Oreochromis niloticus: one gene and its partner. The protein of the gene in region 1 interacts with the protein of each later gene in a biochemical or structural test. Links are inferred from orthologs where the notes say so. Each region holds a gene or a part of one and is shown on either strand. Other genes may lie near its edges.

The links.
Region 2: the proteins of ap1g1 (region 1) and synrg form a complex in vitro, tested with the Homo sapiens proteins (2 studies listed by BioGRID). The link is inferred for Oreochromis niloticus from reciprocal best matches to the Homo sapiens genes AP1G1 and SYNRG.

What each region holds. Positions count from the first base shown.
Region 1 is NC_031965.2:21,847,433-21,855,121, forward strand, and holds the start of ap1g1 (AP-1 complex subunit gamma-1), read right to left. Parts: upstream 3,197-7,689; 5' UTR 3,090-3,196; intron 2,870-3,089; coding exon of another isoform or gene 2,854-2,869; exon of another isoform or gene 2,829-2,853; coding exon of another isoform or gene 2,825-2,828; exon of another isoform or gene 2,562-2,824; intron 1-2,561. Other genes in the region: znf821 (zinc finger protein 821), read left to right, coding at 5,350-5,389. UniProt on the Homo sapiens protein: Subunit of clathrin-associated adaptor protein complex 1 that plays a role in protein sorting in the late-Golgi/trans-Golgi network (TGN) and/or endosomes.
Region 2 is NC_031979.2:27,772,670-27,780,190, reverse strand, and holds the start of synrg (synergin gamma), read right to left. Parts: upstream 3,056-7,521; 5' UTR 2,969-3,055; coding exon 2,934-2,968; intron 2,798-2,933; exon of another isoform or gene 2,674-2,797; coding exon of another isoform or gene 2,657-2,673; intron 1-2,656. UniProt on the Homo sapiens protein: Plays a role in endocytosis and/or membrane trafficking at the trans-Golgi network (TGN). May act by linking the adapter protein complex AP-1 to other proteins. Component of clathrin-coated vesicles.

The DNA of each region.
Region 1 (7,689 bases):
TACACAACACTAAAGTTCAAACATGAGTATCAGCTTTGACATGGATTACATTTACACCCTGGTTCCTATGTACACATTCAAATGTTGAGTACTGTACTTGTGCACAGGGGAAGAAGCGCTCGTAATAGTCAAAATATTCTGTCAGGTGTTTTACATGTACACACTCCAGACCTTTATGGTTTTCCAGATTTTGTTTTCCTCTCTTAGCAAACATGCAGAGATCAAAAAGCCTGGTGATTTCTACATCTATGTGCAACTGCAAATAGTCATTTCACTGTTTGCAGCTACCACGCCTTTCTTCTACCACTTAGAAGTTCTTAACCTGCTGAAAACAACACTGAAAATAGAGAAATTGCTTATTTCTTTGACTGATGGTCAAAACAGCCATCAAAGAGCCAATAATGAGATCAACTTTAAATTCAGAGACTCTGAAGTTACACAGGAGATATACAAAGATCCGTGTGTGCCTTCACCATCAGTTGGAGTCAGTTAAGCTAAGCACTTCTTAATTTAGCTTTGTCAGCCTGCAAATTGACAAAGCCTGCTGGAAACTAGCCCTGCTTAGAATGGGTCTTTGGTAAGCTTTTCCTGTTCAAAACTAATCAGAGGCAAAATGTACAACGACCCCAATGCTAAAAGGAGGAGGAAAAGAGACAAAAATAACAAATGGCATTTACAGTACCTTATTTATCACTAAGTTTGTGTGGCTGTTTACTTAGAGTAAAACCATAAAGACTGATCAGTTTCTGTCCAAACAAGACACCGAGGCAGTGCTAACTCACTCAGGACTTAGGTTGGCCAAATGACATTAATGTGGAGTCAAAATGAATCCTAAACTGGAAATACATCAAAAGATCTTAAATAGCCCTGAGGCAAAGCCTGGAGCTATCTGATTTCACATTGTGTGGGGCACTGATATGCAGACACAGTGATCATGTTTAGTTGCTTCAGTGCTGTGTGATTAATGCACGCTAACCCTGCTTATAATGCACCTACTCAAGTACATTTTATGCATGGCATCACTGCCATTAGAGGTAACGGTTAAGTGTTTTTAATTAAGGTCATAACTGCATGTTTCAAGCACAATATTATGCACCATTCTATAATAATGCATCCTGGCTATTCCTTTGCTACAACTAAATATGACTTTTTTTTATCGTTAACTCTCACCCATCTATCCCATGTAACAGACAATACATGTAAATAGAAAAGGTAATGCAGGACAACATACTCCATATTTAGTTTTACAAAGTGAAGCCAGTAGGAATTGAATATGGCTGAAATCTACAGTACTGCGTGTGACTTGACGGTGAGGAAAGTAAAATTATACATTTAACAGGTTCATTTTCATTAGGCCTTCAACCGTAGCAGTACAGTTGGTCCCGAATCTCTCGAAAGCCCACATCAAGCGTACAGATAAAGTAAACTGCACGTGAAAGGCGTTGCATTACACCTGGCTTGTAGTTTACCAAGATTGGTTTTGTGTGTCGCTGCCACAAACAGTGGACCTGAAGAGCTTACTTCGACCTAAGCTTGTGGAGGCGTAATTTACAGCTCCTGTCAAAAACTGTAGAGAAATCACCCATACTGTACGTCACCTCATTTGCTCACTTCCTACTTGCACCTGACTTCCTTAACACTTACATGCAAACTGATCCTGGAAGATGAATTAAACTCGGACGCTGACAACGCAGTTATAAAAAAGCGCGTGTCTAAGTCTTTCCTTCTCATTTAACAGCTTGTCAACACTAATTAACCATCTCACGAAACTGGACAAAAACCCAAGTCCACGTCCTCAAAACACCAAGCTAGCTATCGTTAGCTTCCCTGGTATTTCAATTAAACGCTAACTTATGGATTAAACGCTTACAGTTTGTTAAATATTAGGAAAGTCTAACTGTATTAATAACCACGCCGTCAAGCGTCACATGCTTAATATGACTTAGAAAACGCAAATCACACCTCTGAAGAGCCAGCTAACAACTAGCTAATTCAGTAGCATCTTAAAAGGGCAAGATATCATGATGACACTACAGGAGTAGCTTCATCTTAGCTGGCGCTGTATTACATTAAAGTTTACATCATCGGCTGTATACAATCAGAGGCAGGCCATTACATCTGACTCTGATCGCCGATTGATCAGGACATAATGCAGTTTAGGCCTTCTTGAAGCATTTGGATTATCAAGCTAGCGTAGCTACCTGACCATTAGCTTGCTTCTTCATTACCTTAACCGAATACTCTCTGAATTAAATGCAACTTGTGCCCGCTAGTTAGAAAGACAGGAAATACCAAATTGTCACTGCGCGTTGCCTTGATGACTTTGATTTAGTGGACACAGCATACTGCTGGGCTACACATCCCCAGTCCAGCAAGGCTATAACTATGCTAAACATGCTAGCTAACTTAGCACAGCCCCGGTGCACTAAGGGCTGCGACTTCCTATGCAGCGCCACAGTGACAGTTGTCAACGTAAATACAGTCAAACCGCGGACAACTACTCACACGTAAAGCCATTTCCCCAAATTTATGCCGACATATTGTTGCTAGGATGTACTTACTAGCCGTAATGATGCCAGAAAATGACTGGAATCGTCTCTATTAGCAATGGAGGGAGGAACACACTAGACATGCAAAATGGTGGCTACTCCAGCCTCAGCACATCTACCGCAGGCGGAGGGTTACACTGACAGATCGCAAGGGGTTCGCGAAAGAAGAGCTCAAGTTTATCATCAGCGTACAGTAACGTTAGCTGTACAGGAGGACTAAATCACAGTCTGTGCCCCTTACTCGAGACTCCTGCCTCATATGTTCACTGGACAACATGGGTAATAGTTGAATTATGTCTTCATTATGATGGGAGATGTAGGTAGGTGACTGTACTCAACCCTTTCTTATCATTTACTAATTGCTGTGTGGCTTGTTCGCTTCCATCGTTCTCACAGTAACTATAATGGGCTAACGTTAGGCTTGTTATCATTAGCCAGCTAGCTGATGTTATCCTGTTGTACTCACTGACTGGATATCTAAATAATTGTGCATAACGTGACGTGCTGTTTGCGTGTGAATGTGTGTCATCTGCCACTTGCCTTACAAAGGGGATTTCATGACCTGACGAGATTATTTTGTTGAGATGGCATATTTTCGCTTGAGCGTGCGGAAGAGTACATTTTCACCCGGTCAATGTGGTGCTGCGGTCAGTTTACTCGTGGCAGTCAGTGATGACGACTACATGCAATGTTATGACATTGACAGTCCAACGGTTTGTAGCGACATCTAGTGTTGACTGTAGGATATGCAGTTAGAGAGAGCGTTTATAATGAAATTACAAGTGTCATGATCAATTGTAGCACTACTTTTTCTTCCTATTATGGCTAGAGGGAGCACAAAAGTATCACAAACTGGGCGAGAGGCTCAGAAATTGTAAGGCTTTTGCAACAGAAAAATACCCTCAGCTTTGTCAGTGTCCAATCAGTGGATGCATGTCCTTGGAGTTTTATTATGAATATATTTGTTTATTCTAAAAAGTAAATGTTCATGTATTTTTTATTTATTTATTTGAATTAGCACTGTCACCTCACAGCAAGAAGGTTCTTGGTTCAAATTCAGTCTGGGCCTTTCTGGATGTACTTTATATGTTCTTTTCACATCTGTATGGGGGGTTCTCTCTCTGAAAACTCTTCACTTCCTCCCACAGGTCAAAGACATGCATGGAGTTAGATTCACTGGTGATCTTAAATTAGCTGCAAGCGGGAATATGAGTGTGAATAGTTGTCTCTATGGGTTAGCCCTGCGATAGATTGGCAGCTTGTCCATGGTATACCCTGACTCTATGACTGAGATAGGCTACAACTGCCCCCCTTCCCATCTCAAATTAGATAAGGAGTCAAGGAAAGTGAAGGACTGGATGATCATTTTATTTAGCCTATAAAAGTACCTTTTATCCTATAGGGTTATCTATACACTTCGGTGGTAAGCTTAAAAATATATCCCTGTTTATCTAAAAATGTCAAATTGAATGTATTTATTGCAAAAATTCTCCTATGGGTCCCTAGCACACTCCCTGGACTGTGGCTACCTGCGACTCAGAATTGGAAAGTGGAATAAAATGAATGAGTGTTAGTTATTTAGGTTGGCTTTTCCAATTTTTTTTAGCCTCAGTACTTTTTGAGAAATGTACTCAGATCTGTCATTAATCTTTATTTAAACCAGACGGTCTGACTGTGCCACAATACTTTTTCATCCATCTGACCAACCGCTCTCACATAATTTCATTGTGTAAAATAAAAGACTTATATTGTATGTTGTCAGTTTCTTCATTTGGCCATACAGCAGGAAAAAAGTTTACTTTGTCACTGTGACAGGATGCAGCTTCCTGTTGTATGTTGTGTTTGTACTCTTTGTCTAATGGCAACATTAACTCAAAAGTGTAACTGACTTATCAAATGTGTAAGTGCAAAATAATTGCTTGAACATTAATTTCCCATTTCTATTTAATAAAAATATTCATAATACAAGAATATGATTAGAACAATAATTTAACCTAAGAATATTATTTGACACAGTAATCCCTTAAGGTCCTCACAGATTATGGGTTTGTTTTTATGTTTTATTTATTTATTTTCGGTAGATTTCAGACGCGCGGGTGAGTTCTTATGATAGTGTTTATTGGGGGTGTGGTGTGCTGAGTGGTCCTTGGATGAATATTTATTAGTTATTAGTTGAGGTGTCATTGTCAGGTTATAGTTACGTACTTACAGAGCTTATAAAGTTAAATAGGAATCATTGCTTCGTCAAAACCGCCAACAGCAATTTACTTACTTACTTTAAATTGATATTTGAACATGGTCGGGTTTTTTTTTCTCCCACACGACCTGAATGCAGCATAGTATCTTTCACTTGAACTCCCCTGCGTCCCTACACATCCCACAATGCTGTTCGACGTTAGCTTCATTCCTTTTACGTTTAGATATCAGCTGAGCTCGTGCTGCGCTGCAGTTGTGCGCGGGTGCCAGCGGATCGGGATCGGAGCAGCTCGGAGCTGCTCGGAGTCTCTCTGTCCGGGCTTGGACATCATCTTAACCCGATAATCGGCTGAAGAAGGGGCTTTTAAAAAAGACACACAAAAAAAGACCGCAAGAATGTGACTCTTAAATGTGCCCGATTTTTTTTTTATTTTTTTAATCTCCGAAAACGACCCAGTTTCTGATCTAAACGATTTGATTTTTTAATATTATTATTTTCTTCATCATCTGCTCCCTCTGTCCGGAACATACTTGGACCGTCCGGGGTTAGGATATTCTCTTTTTTTTTTTCAGTTGTTTTTTTTTTACCGGTTTGGGCAGTAATATGTCCAGGCGAAAACAGACCAACCCCTTCAAAGTTAACTGTAGGTATTTCAGGTATTGTCTCTCTTACTATTTCACGAGTTTTATTGATGACACTTGCGCTATCCGTGTATACTTGGGTCGGTTGACATGATCACGCTGAATTACTACCAGCTACGAGGCTAGTATTGTGAGTTTTCTCTCTCTCTCTATCTCCGTGTGTGTGTGTGTGTGTGTGTTGCTTGTTTGTTTTATCTATATTTGTAGGATATAAACATTGTAACTAATGATATTTGTGTTGCCAGACAGCTTTTAAAGAACCACGATTTAGGGTCCCATAAAAGGCAGTTTGGGGTTCAAAAGTTTTTTATTTTTTGAGGTAGAGGTAGGTTTGGGTTAGCACTTTAATTGTGATGTTTAATGTGAGGGTAAGGGGTTAGGGAGTATTTTAACTCTATGAAGATTGTCCACAAAGATATGCATGTGTATCATCGTTTAAAAATGCAGTCCCAGGACACCTACTGTTGCAGGAACTACCACAGAATTAGTTTTGAGTAATTTGGCAGGTGCTTTTGTGCATGCATTGAGGTTTGGGTTTATTTATTTATTTTAAATATTACAGTCCTGGTGACTTTTTCTTCATATTGAAGGCCAAAACCTTTTTGGAACGTGCCAAAATTTGTATGACTGGGAACAGGTTTTGCCAAAATAACAGATAAAGCCATGAAATGTGGCAGGTTTGTAGTTGACGCCAAGCTGGTAGACTTGTGTGATCCAGCCCATGAGTACTCAGTAGTCCTATAACTAGAGACCATCTTGCAGTGGGATCACACCAGTTGTGACACATGCCAGTATACTGACATTTAGACTCATTAGTACTAGTATTCAGGACTCATGAGTTGGACCACACCCATCTTCTGACTTAACCGTTATTTCGCTGAAGAATACACATATGTAAAGTTTTATGTCAGCACCTCGCACAGCTTTTGTCACATTACTGCACTGGCAAAATTTGCCCACAGACAGATATACAAACAACTGTCAGCATATTTGAAATTCAGTTTGAGGTATCTCTATGGTGCATTTTACCATGATGACGCACACAGAATCACAAGTAGAAACCAATAATAGCTACTCTATCATGCTTGGTAATAATGCAGTAATAACTACCATGCATACTTAATGCCAGCGTGTTGACGGGTGATGCAGCCACTTTGATCCAATCTTAGTGCGGTCCCACTTTTTTTCTTTTTTTTTTCTTAGCCCTAATATTTTTGTTTTTAACAATAACTGATTTAGGTCTAATTTGACCACAGTTATTATTTACAGGTATGTGAAAACAAAAGAAACAGGCATAAAATGGGCCATAAATACAGTGAGAGCAAACTCAGGTCAGATGCACTCAACAGACTAGAAAATCAATAGTGACCGTCTTGCAAGGTTTTTCCAGCATAATTTTAGTGTTCACCACACCACAGAAAAACCACCCGCACAGCGATAAAACTATTAGTCCATTTTTATGCAGGGTTAAATTTAGTCTTTAACCTGACTCGCTTTTTCATTTATCAGTTGTTTAAAAATAACTAAGATATGTAAGATACCCAATACTCTTGCCTTGTATGTGGCATCATCCCCAAAAGGCCAATTTTGAGCCAGGAAAAACCTCGTCTGGTGATCAGAAGGCATTACTACACTTTAACGCAAATACTCAGTACTCGGGGAGCCGCACCACACACAATCTCAAACTCGGCTTCATTTAGATCTCATCTGTAAAGTTTTGTATCTGTGATTAGTACTGTTGTTGGCACTGTCTTTCACTTTAGTTCAATTTTATTTATACAGTGCCAAATCACAACAACAGGCTACCCACAGACAGACAAACACCTACCAAAGTACTCACGCACATACAGGCACACAAGCTTATAATAATGCAAGCTACACTATTGCAGCATGTAATGATAAATAACTGAATCTGTTACATAATATGTGAAAGAGCACACTCCTGGTACATTTTTAAAAATAATTTAAGTAGCCGCTATCACTTGTTGGTGCTGATTACAGGCTTAAAAATATTTTTTATAAATATCTCTCCTTTAAGGCCGATAAGCTTATATTCACTAAAAATGTTGTGTGAAAGAATCTTTCAGTTAATTATCAAGGCTTGTGGCTAACCATGTTTCTGGGTTCAGTTTTGAGATGTTATTTTTGTCAGTTATCTGCTCATTTAAAAGAAAGTATGAGGCATTTTTAAAAAACAAAACAAAACCTATGACTAAACCATGAACAGAAGGGACAGAGGTTTCAGCTTGTACAAACAGTAGCTATGTGTGCACTTGATTCAGTTTTCTCTGACAGCTCAGAT
Region 2 (7,521 bases), on another chromosome or scaffold:
ATGACAAGTACCGGAGGGTTTCAGATTCTCGCATCTGCTCACTGGAAGATTTGCAGCTTAAAAAGCTTTTTGAGCACCACGGCACTACTGTCTGCCATCCTTCAGCAAATCAGAGGTCATGGCCGAGTGGATTAACATAGAGGGAGATAAGCGGCGACAGCAGCTGTGGACACCAGGCAGGCCTGAGCCTTGTAAAAGGTCTGGATTCGTCTAATAGCTACCATCAAACTGCTTTGAATGCTTGGGGACAGAAGGCACAGTTTCACAGTTTCAGCCAGAGTCGTTATTGTTAAAACTATTTGCTCTCATAGAGGAATAGAGAGCAGACTTAAAATCACTCCTTTAAAAAGGAAAGGCTTACTTTTAATGGACCTGCCACTTCTGCTACATAAAGATCTAAAGCATTTACTTACAAACCACTGATTATTTAGGGCTTTGTTATTTACCAAGAAAACCATGTTAGAAATTCTCAATTTTCTGCCTTCCAAATGCACTTTTTTCTCATTCGCTCCTAATGCTGTTGCTTCCATAGATGCTATTAATGTAGGAAAAGGCCGTTATTAGCTGTCTGAAGATCTTCCAGTATTTACCGATAGGTAAAAATGGAAGAAAATAAATAAAGAGATGGGAAAAAACACTCTTTAACCAGTGTTATGAGTGATGATGTTGAACACAACCAGCTGATCTGAGAAGAATATGGCAGAGCATTGGATAAATAGGTAAAAAAAATAAAATAAAATACACATAACCAATGTTTCTCTAACCAAAAAAAGCGTTGGAATTTTTAATCATCAAATATCTGTACTGGTATCAGTCTTGGTATCAAGTCACCACTAAATTGTGACACTTCATAAGTCCCCTAATTGATTATAAAATCAATGGAAACAGATTTTTCAAACAAAATGCAAGACATTTGCTGGTTCTCAGATGAAAGGATTTGATCGTTTTCTCAGTCATTAAATGAAATGCATTTGCTTTTTGGTCTGTTTATTAATCAAAAAAAGAAAAAAAGTTCTTTTAGTGAAAAACTGAGGTAAAAGTATGTAAGTAGGACTAATATATCAGCCAACTGATTGACATTTGGCTGATATATTAGCCAACAGATCAGCCACTGAACTCAGAAAATGTTATCTTATTTACTGATTTATCAGTTGTATTGATTTTAATATCATTATTTTTATTTCAGAGTTGAAAGCCCTTTTAAAAATTTTTTTTAGATTTCCAAGTATAATGAAGATTTCTTTGTTTTCTTGACATAACAGAGGGAATAAACAGAGCAGGAAAAATGTCATTCGGCCCAGAATTTTACAACTATGCATCGCTAAAAGTAACCCAAAGCACTCTGAAAAGCAAGCGCTAATCATTTTCTCTCTCATATACAGGAACATCTTGAGTTGTCCAGTTTGGAAACAAATTTAGAGAGGCTTGAACATGTGCAGAGGACGGATAGTGGATAAAATAGACAAAGGATGTTGAATATGGAGCTGCCAGGCAGGTGGAAATGAAAAATACCTCAGAGGATGTTCATGAATGTAGTGAAGAAGGACATGCAGAGGGTTGGTGTGACAGAAGAAAAGAGTAGAGTGAGAGTGAGATCGAAGTAGGTGATCTGCTGTGGCAACCCCTAAAGGGAGCAGCTGAGAGAATAGCTGGCGTAAAAGGTATGGTTTCTGCACAGGATATCATCTGACATTCATGAAGTATCTATTCACATGTCCTGTTGAAAACAGAGGATCTGCATGGAGCCTACAAACTACAAAAGGTTGCTGGAATTCTCAAACAGGCTTCACCTCCTGGCTTTGCACTTTAGCATACAGGTACATTTTACTTTTATCATACCCACATTGTCATTTCTTGCAGCTACTCAAAGTTTCCAAGATTGTTTTTTACCAAATGGTACCACTGATTGTAAAAAAGTCACACTGCACCATGGAAGTAGATACTTTAAAAACAGAGTTCCAAAGTCAAAGTTAAGCATGGCCCATCTCATAAATGACACATTTTTTGAGAGAAAATATACTAAAATGCAAATATAGCCCAAATCTACCAGAGTATACAGTAGAGGCTTTACCAGCCGCAGTGAAAGACTGGCACAGACAGTCTTGAGGGCTTTGGTTTCACCTGTCAGATCAGTATCACCTGGCTAGCCTTGTAGCCAGAGTATATTTATTATTCAGGGTGCTGGAGCTCGTATTATGAAAAAATCATGAGGCTGGCCTTTTCATCTCCTCTGCAGACCATCATCACACTGCTTTAATAAGACACCTGAACATCTCCTCACCATTTACAGCTACTTACTGGAATATGCATGTGTGACAGGGCTGATTATGTAATTCAGCAGAGAGTTATTAGAGCAATCTGACTCCTGAAGAAGGGCTTAGAGTCTCTGCTGCTTTGTTTGTTACAGGGACAAAAACTAAATCAACCCCTTCCCCACAAATCTTCACGTCCTAATGTTTTATCTTCCTAAATAGCCAACACCATACTAAATCCCCAATAACAGAAAACATAATACTGAGAAAGTGTAAATATCTGTCCCTACCAGCCACCCACAGGCCTGCCTAGCAATGCTACAAGAGATTCATCTAGCAAGTATCGCGTTATATCACCAGACACCGAGAGCACTGGGCACTATGACTGCCACAGAATAACTTAAGGGTGAAATCTGTTCATATGACCACACCGTGAAGTTAGTCGGAACCACTCTGGACATGGACAGGTAAAGCCAGAAGGGGCCAGCTAACGTTAGCTGTGGCACCTGACCACCAGCCATCTCATCTCATCTCCCTGCCCCGACAAACTAAGCCAGCCTTTATCGCGATATTTGAGGGCGTCCTCGTGGCTAAATGTGAAGCCCCGCGACTGTCGGGGGTGAATGTTTCACGCACAAATTACTTCCCCTAAAATGAGTCAGTTTAAAATGGCTAAAATACCTGCCACCTCCCCCAGATCCCGGCCGCAGCGCCATCTTGATAACAGCAGTCACTAAGAGGAAGATGACGTCACCACTTAGGACGGTGGTGTGGGACGTACGGTGCCCTGAGTTTAGTCTGTCAGACACACCGTCCGGGTCATAGCAGGGCTAATACATGATAGAAAATAAATAAACATTAATTGAGTTGGTTGTTTTTGTTTTGTTGGCTTATTTGTTTATTTTTTCCTGAATTACACCCCCCCCCCCTTTACCTCAGTTCCACATATATATTTTACCTTTAACCTTAATAAGTCTTTATATTTCACAATTTGTTTCCACCAGTGAAATTTCAACTTATTATTTCGGTAGTAATATCTTGGAGCTACTTCTAAGAAAGACAAAATCTTGAGATAATACATAATCAATAATAATTCACCTTTTTTTTCAATATCTTCAGTAACATGGATGCTCTCTTTCTCCAAACGACTGAAGCTAACAGTTAAGCTACTAGTTTCTGATTAACTTTGTTAGCAATCTCAAGGAAAATTGATATTTTTTTTTAAACAACATGATGTTTTTTTAACCACTGTAATGTTCATTCCCGACAGGTGTGCTATTGCGGTGATTCGTATTGTCTAATATGGCGAAATTATATTGTTTTGGATAGTACATTTCCATCTCTGACTTATTATGAGCTGAAGTACTGTTTATTGAATTGCTGGAAGCTTGAAAAAACATATTTTTAAAACCTCTTACTTACTGTTTTTTCTTGCTTTAATTGCCCCCACTGGGTTACTTTGATGGAAGAAAGTTATATTGGCTGACTTTATTTGTGTATGCTAAAAAAGAAGACGACTTTGTGATGGTGAAAACGAGCGGAGCGGAAGGCCGACCTGCGAGGATTGATGCAGGGCAACAACTTCCCACGTTTAGTATTGGTCGCTGCAATTCAAACTTTCTGCCAGCAGGTGTCAGTGTGTAGCTTTGTCGAGGTTTTGTTAAGGCGAGAACCTGAACATGCAAAGGCACAAAAACAAAACATGTCATACAGAAACAAACCTGTGAGCTGGTGGAAAGTTGTGATCATTAAACTGAATGTTGGAGGAAAACACTTCAACTTTAATACCTGCAATCTCTAAAGCTCGAAAATTACAAAAATAAAGTTCATATTCCAGATCTCAGATTTTAACGAGAAAGTAGTCACGTGTGCAAATATGATCCTGTGCCAGTTAGCTGCACGTGATTCTTTATCTGTGGTACAGTTTAGTAGGACAGGTCTACCTTACCTATTCTTATCACCCACGAAGGCTGTGTCTGATTTTCTGAGTAAGAGCGAGCTCAGGCCAACACGAGCTACCAAAATGTTTGTTGTAGCAAAGCTGCCCATAGGTGAGGGGAGGTGACAGCAGTCTGTTTTTATGGAGGCCCCCAAATGTTTTTGAGCTTATCAGCAAGCATTGTATAATGTTTTAAATATAAATGTGAGCTTAAATTATTTTCTTTAGGATTATCTTACGGTCTATACCTCACATAGCCCTCAGTTGCCAGTGATGCCAGGTCTCTCTTGGAAATGAGATTTTAAATCTCAATGAGATTTTTACCTGAATAAATAAAGGACTAACAAAGTTACTGTAAGTCATTTGTTAAATGACAGAAAAGTACTGTAACTTGTCATTTTGCAGCAAATCTAATCTACAAAAATAAAATTTAACAGTGTTACGTATTAGCTTTACAGTATCATAGCATCATACCCACTTTAGTGTTCCTACTTTGTTCCCGTTGTTTTACCTTTTTTCTTTAGTTTTGTTTTTTGACATTAAAATCTAACTGCATGTACTCTGAATTAAATTTAGTATATTTCTCGACTATGTCTCAAATTACACTGTAAACATGTACAGCTTGCTGTTAAGGCATTTATAGTATGCATCTGTTTTCACAAATAATGGTACATAACTGTACACAATTCCCAATTTTTTCTACATCAGCTTGCTACAGTGTATTTTCATATGTGTCATCAGGTGATTATCTGAGATACCATTGAGATGTTGAATAATTATGACTGCCTGTTATGATTCACCCAAAGACCCGCTTTCACACACTGATGTGTTGTCCAACATTTTTACTGGCTGTCTGAAACACTGAGGCAATTGTGTGTCCTGACAAAGTGATTCAGTTTCATTGTTACGCCGAGGGCAAGGTGGAGCAGCAAGGAGAAGCCTGTGTGGCATTGTCTCAGTGGGTGTTGTTGTGAAAGATTTACAGCTTAATGAGAGTCATGTAAAGCAGAGGACAACAAGCCCTGCTGCTATCCATCACCTGGTCTGCTCCCAGCCTTATACCTTAGCTCCGTTCACAGGGCATGTACATGACAGAGGAGGACATGACCACATTTTTGGATTCAGATTGACTAACAAGAAAAAAAGAAAAGCTTTCAGTGTATTTTATTGAGTTGATTAGTTAAAGTCTTGTTAAAGTCTTCGGGATACTTCCTTCACTGAGGAAACTGAGGTCATACACGTACCTGGACGATATCAAAGAGGCTGATTCCACTATGTTCAGGATCTATTTGTTTTCTTTTGGTTTTTGTTTAGTTTTTTGTACTTTCAAGCCAACAAAAGTAAAGAAGGGAAGCAGGATGGGATACAGAGACGCTGTGTCTTTACACAGGACCAACTACTGCTGAAGACATCAAGGTCATGTCCCGGTGAGGTCCTTTTATAGATAATAGGAAGAGTTTAAGTTGTGTTGTGCAAACAAAATTGACATGATTGTAAAAGAATTCATTTATAGACATTAGGAGCTTTAAAAAGAAAGTAAAAAGAACCCTTTTTTTCTTTTTTGTCTGACTGAAATGTAAAAATCAAAAAAGTACTAAGTTTATCAAATAGATACATTAAAACAAGCACTTATTTCATTCAAGATATTCAGCCTCAGTGCATGTAAAACTCCAGCCACTGCCCTACTTTGGGAAATATTTTTACTGTACAAAATACAATAAAAGACACGTTAATTATTTGAAGGAAACAGCAAAAAAGGAAATGAAACAATATTTGTAAATGGTTCTTAGCATTTTTAGCAGAAAACATGCATGGAAACTATGACCAACCCCAGACCATGAGTGGAACCACTGATGCTGCCTGTAATTATAATTATAGGTCACATACATTATTATTAAAAGATGCAAAGCCTTTGTGAGAAAAATGAGTCTAAAACTGACTTCAAATTCAAAATGACTTTAATGAAATCCTGTCACACGTGCAGAAAGTCAAATTTAAAGGAATATTAAACATCTATTGGTGATGCTTTTAGCCGGTCCTGTAATGGACTCAAATCATCATTTTACTCCTGATTGTTTAACATGTTCATTGTTTGATTACAGTTAGAGAAAATAGAAATGAATAACTTGGTGAATAAAACATGAACTTCTATATTGTAGACATAAGATACCTCCTACTTGTGCATGTCACTGCATGTTGCATGGGCCACGATGTTCTTTGTCATGCGTGAAGCTTACACAATAAGAAAAGCATGTTGTTGTTGTTTTTTCTTTGAGCTTTTTATAACTGCTTGGATTTTTTTTGTTCTGCTCTCATTGCTTCTGTGTGACCCATTACTGAGATCGATCAGGCCTCATTAGCCTCCTCTCTCCTCCTCTTCTTCTTCTCAGTCCCCGAGCGTGGTCTTCCTCCCTGCTGTGTGTGCCGGGTTTAGCTGGAGGCCGGCCACTCAGTCAGTCCCCTCGACAGTTGGATCGGGACTGGATGTGAGCAGTCCCCCACACCCAGAGATCTGGCGAGAAAGGTGAACATTAACCCGGGACTCATTCGGGGCATCCCGCAATTCCCCATAAATCATTAACCCGTCCAGCATCAAGACAGTGACAGCATCAGCATGACAACATCAATCTGTCAGGATTCCTCTGAACCAGGGATTCTCACAGATTTTCAGATGCAAATAGAGGGAAACTGGGAGAAAACAGGCTTGCACTCCTGGGCTGTAACAACAAGCGTGGCCCCGATATTTAGTTCAGTACTTGTATATATTCATTATATGGTATTTCTTTGTTCTCTTGAGTTCCTGCAGCAGGTGGCTGTAGCTGGATGAGGTTCAAGACAACAAATCATCATTATTATTAAATGTAAATCCGATCCTTCCGCCTGAACAGCTTAGAAGCTTCATTTTATTAACTGAAACCACTTACTCACCTTCATGCCATAGTCCGTGCCACTGAGTACATGTAACACTGCACTTAAGGACACTTTCTGAGATACTCAGGGGGTTTTTTTTACCAGCTTTGTTTACTAGATGAAGATTTAACATTCCCAGAATATGAGAGGCTGATAAAATATCACACAGCTGTTACTGTAACTCAAATTAAAAGCAGTATGCAGTGACAATATCCAAGAGTATATTATTGTATTATTACACTAAAAGACCTGTTTCTACACATATTTTTTACTGAACTGAAAACATTGTATGATTTGATTAGTTGTACTTTTGATAGAATTTAAAGACAAAAGCCATCGATGCATATTTAAACAGATCGTCAGCTGCAAAGTTGACTTCTCCTCTCTAAAATTTGACATTTTTTAGTCTTATTTCTCAAT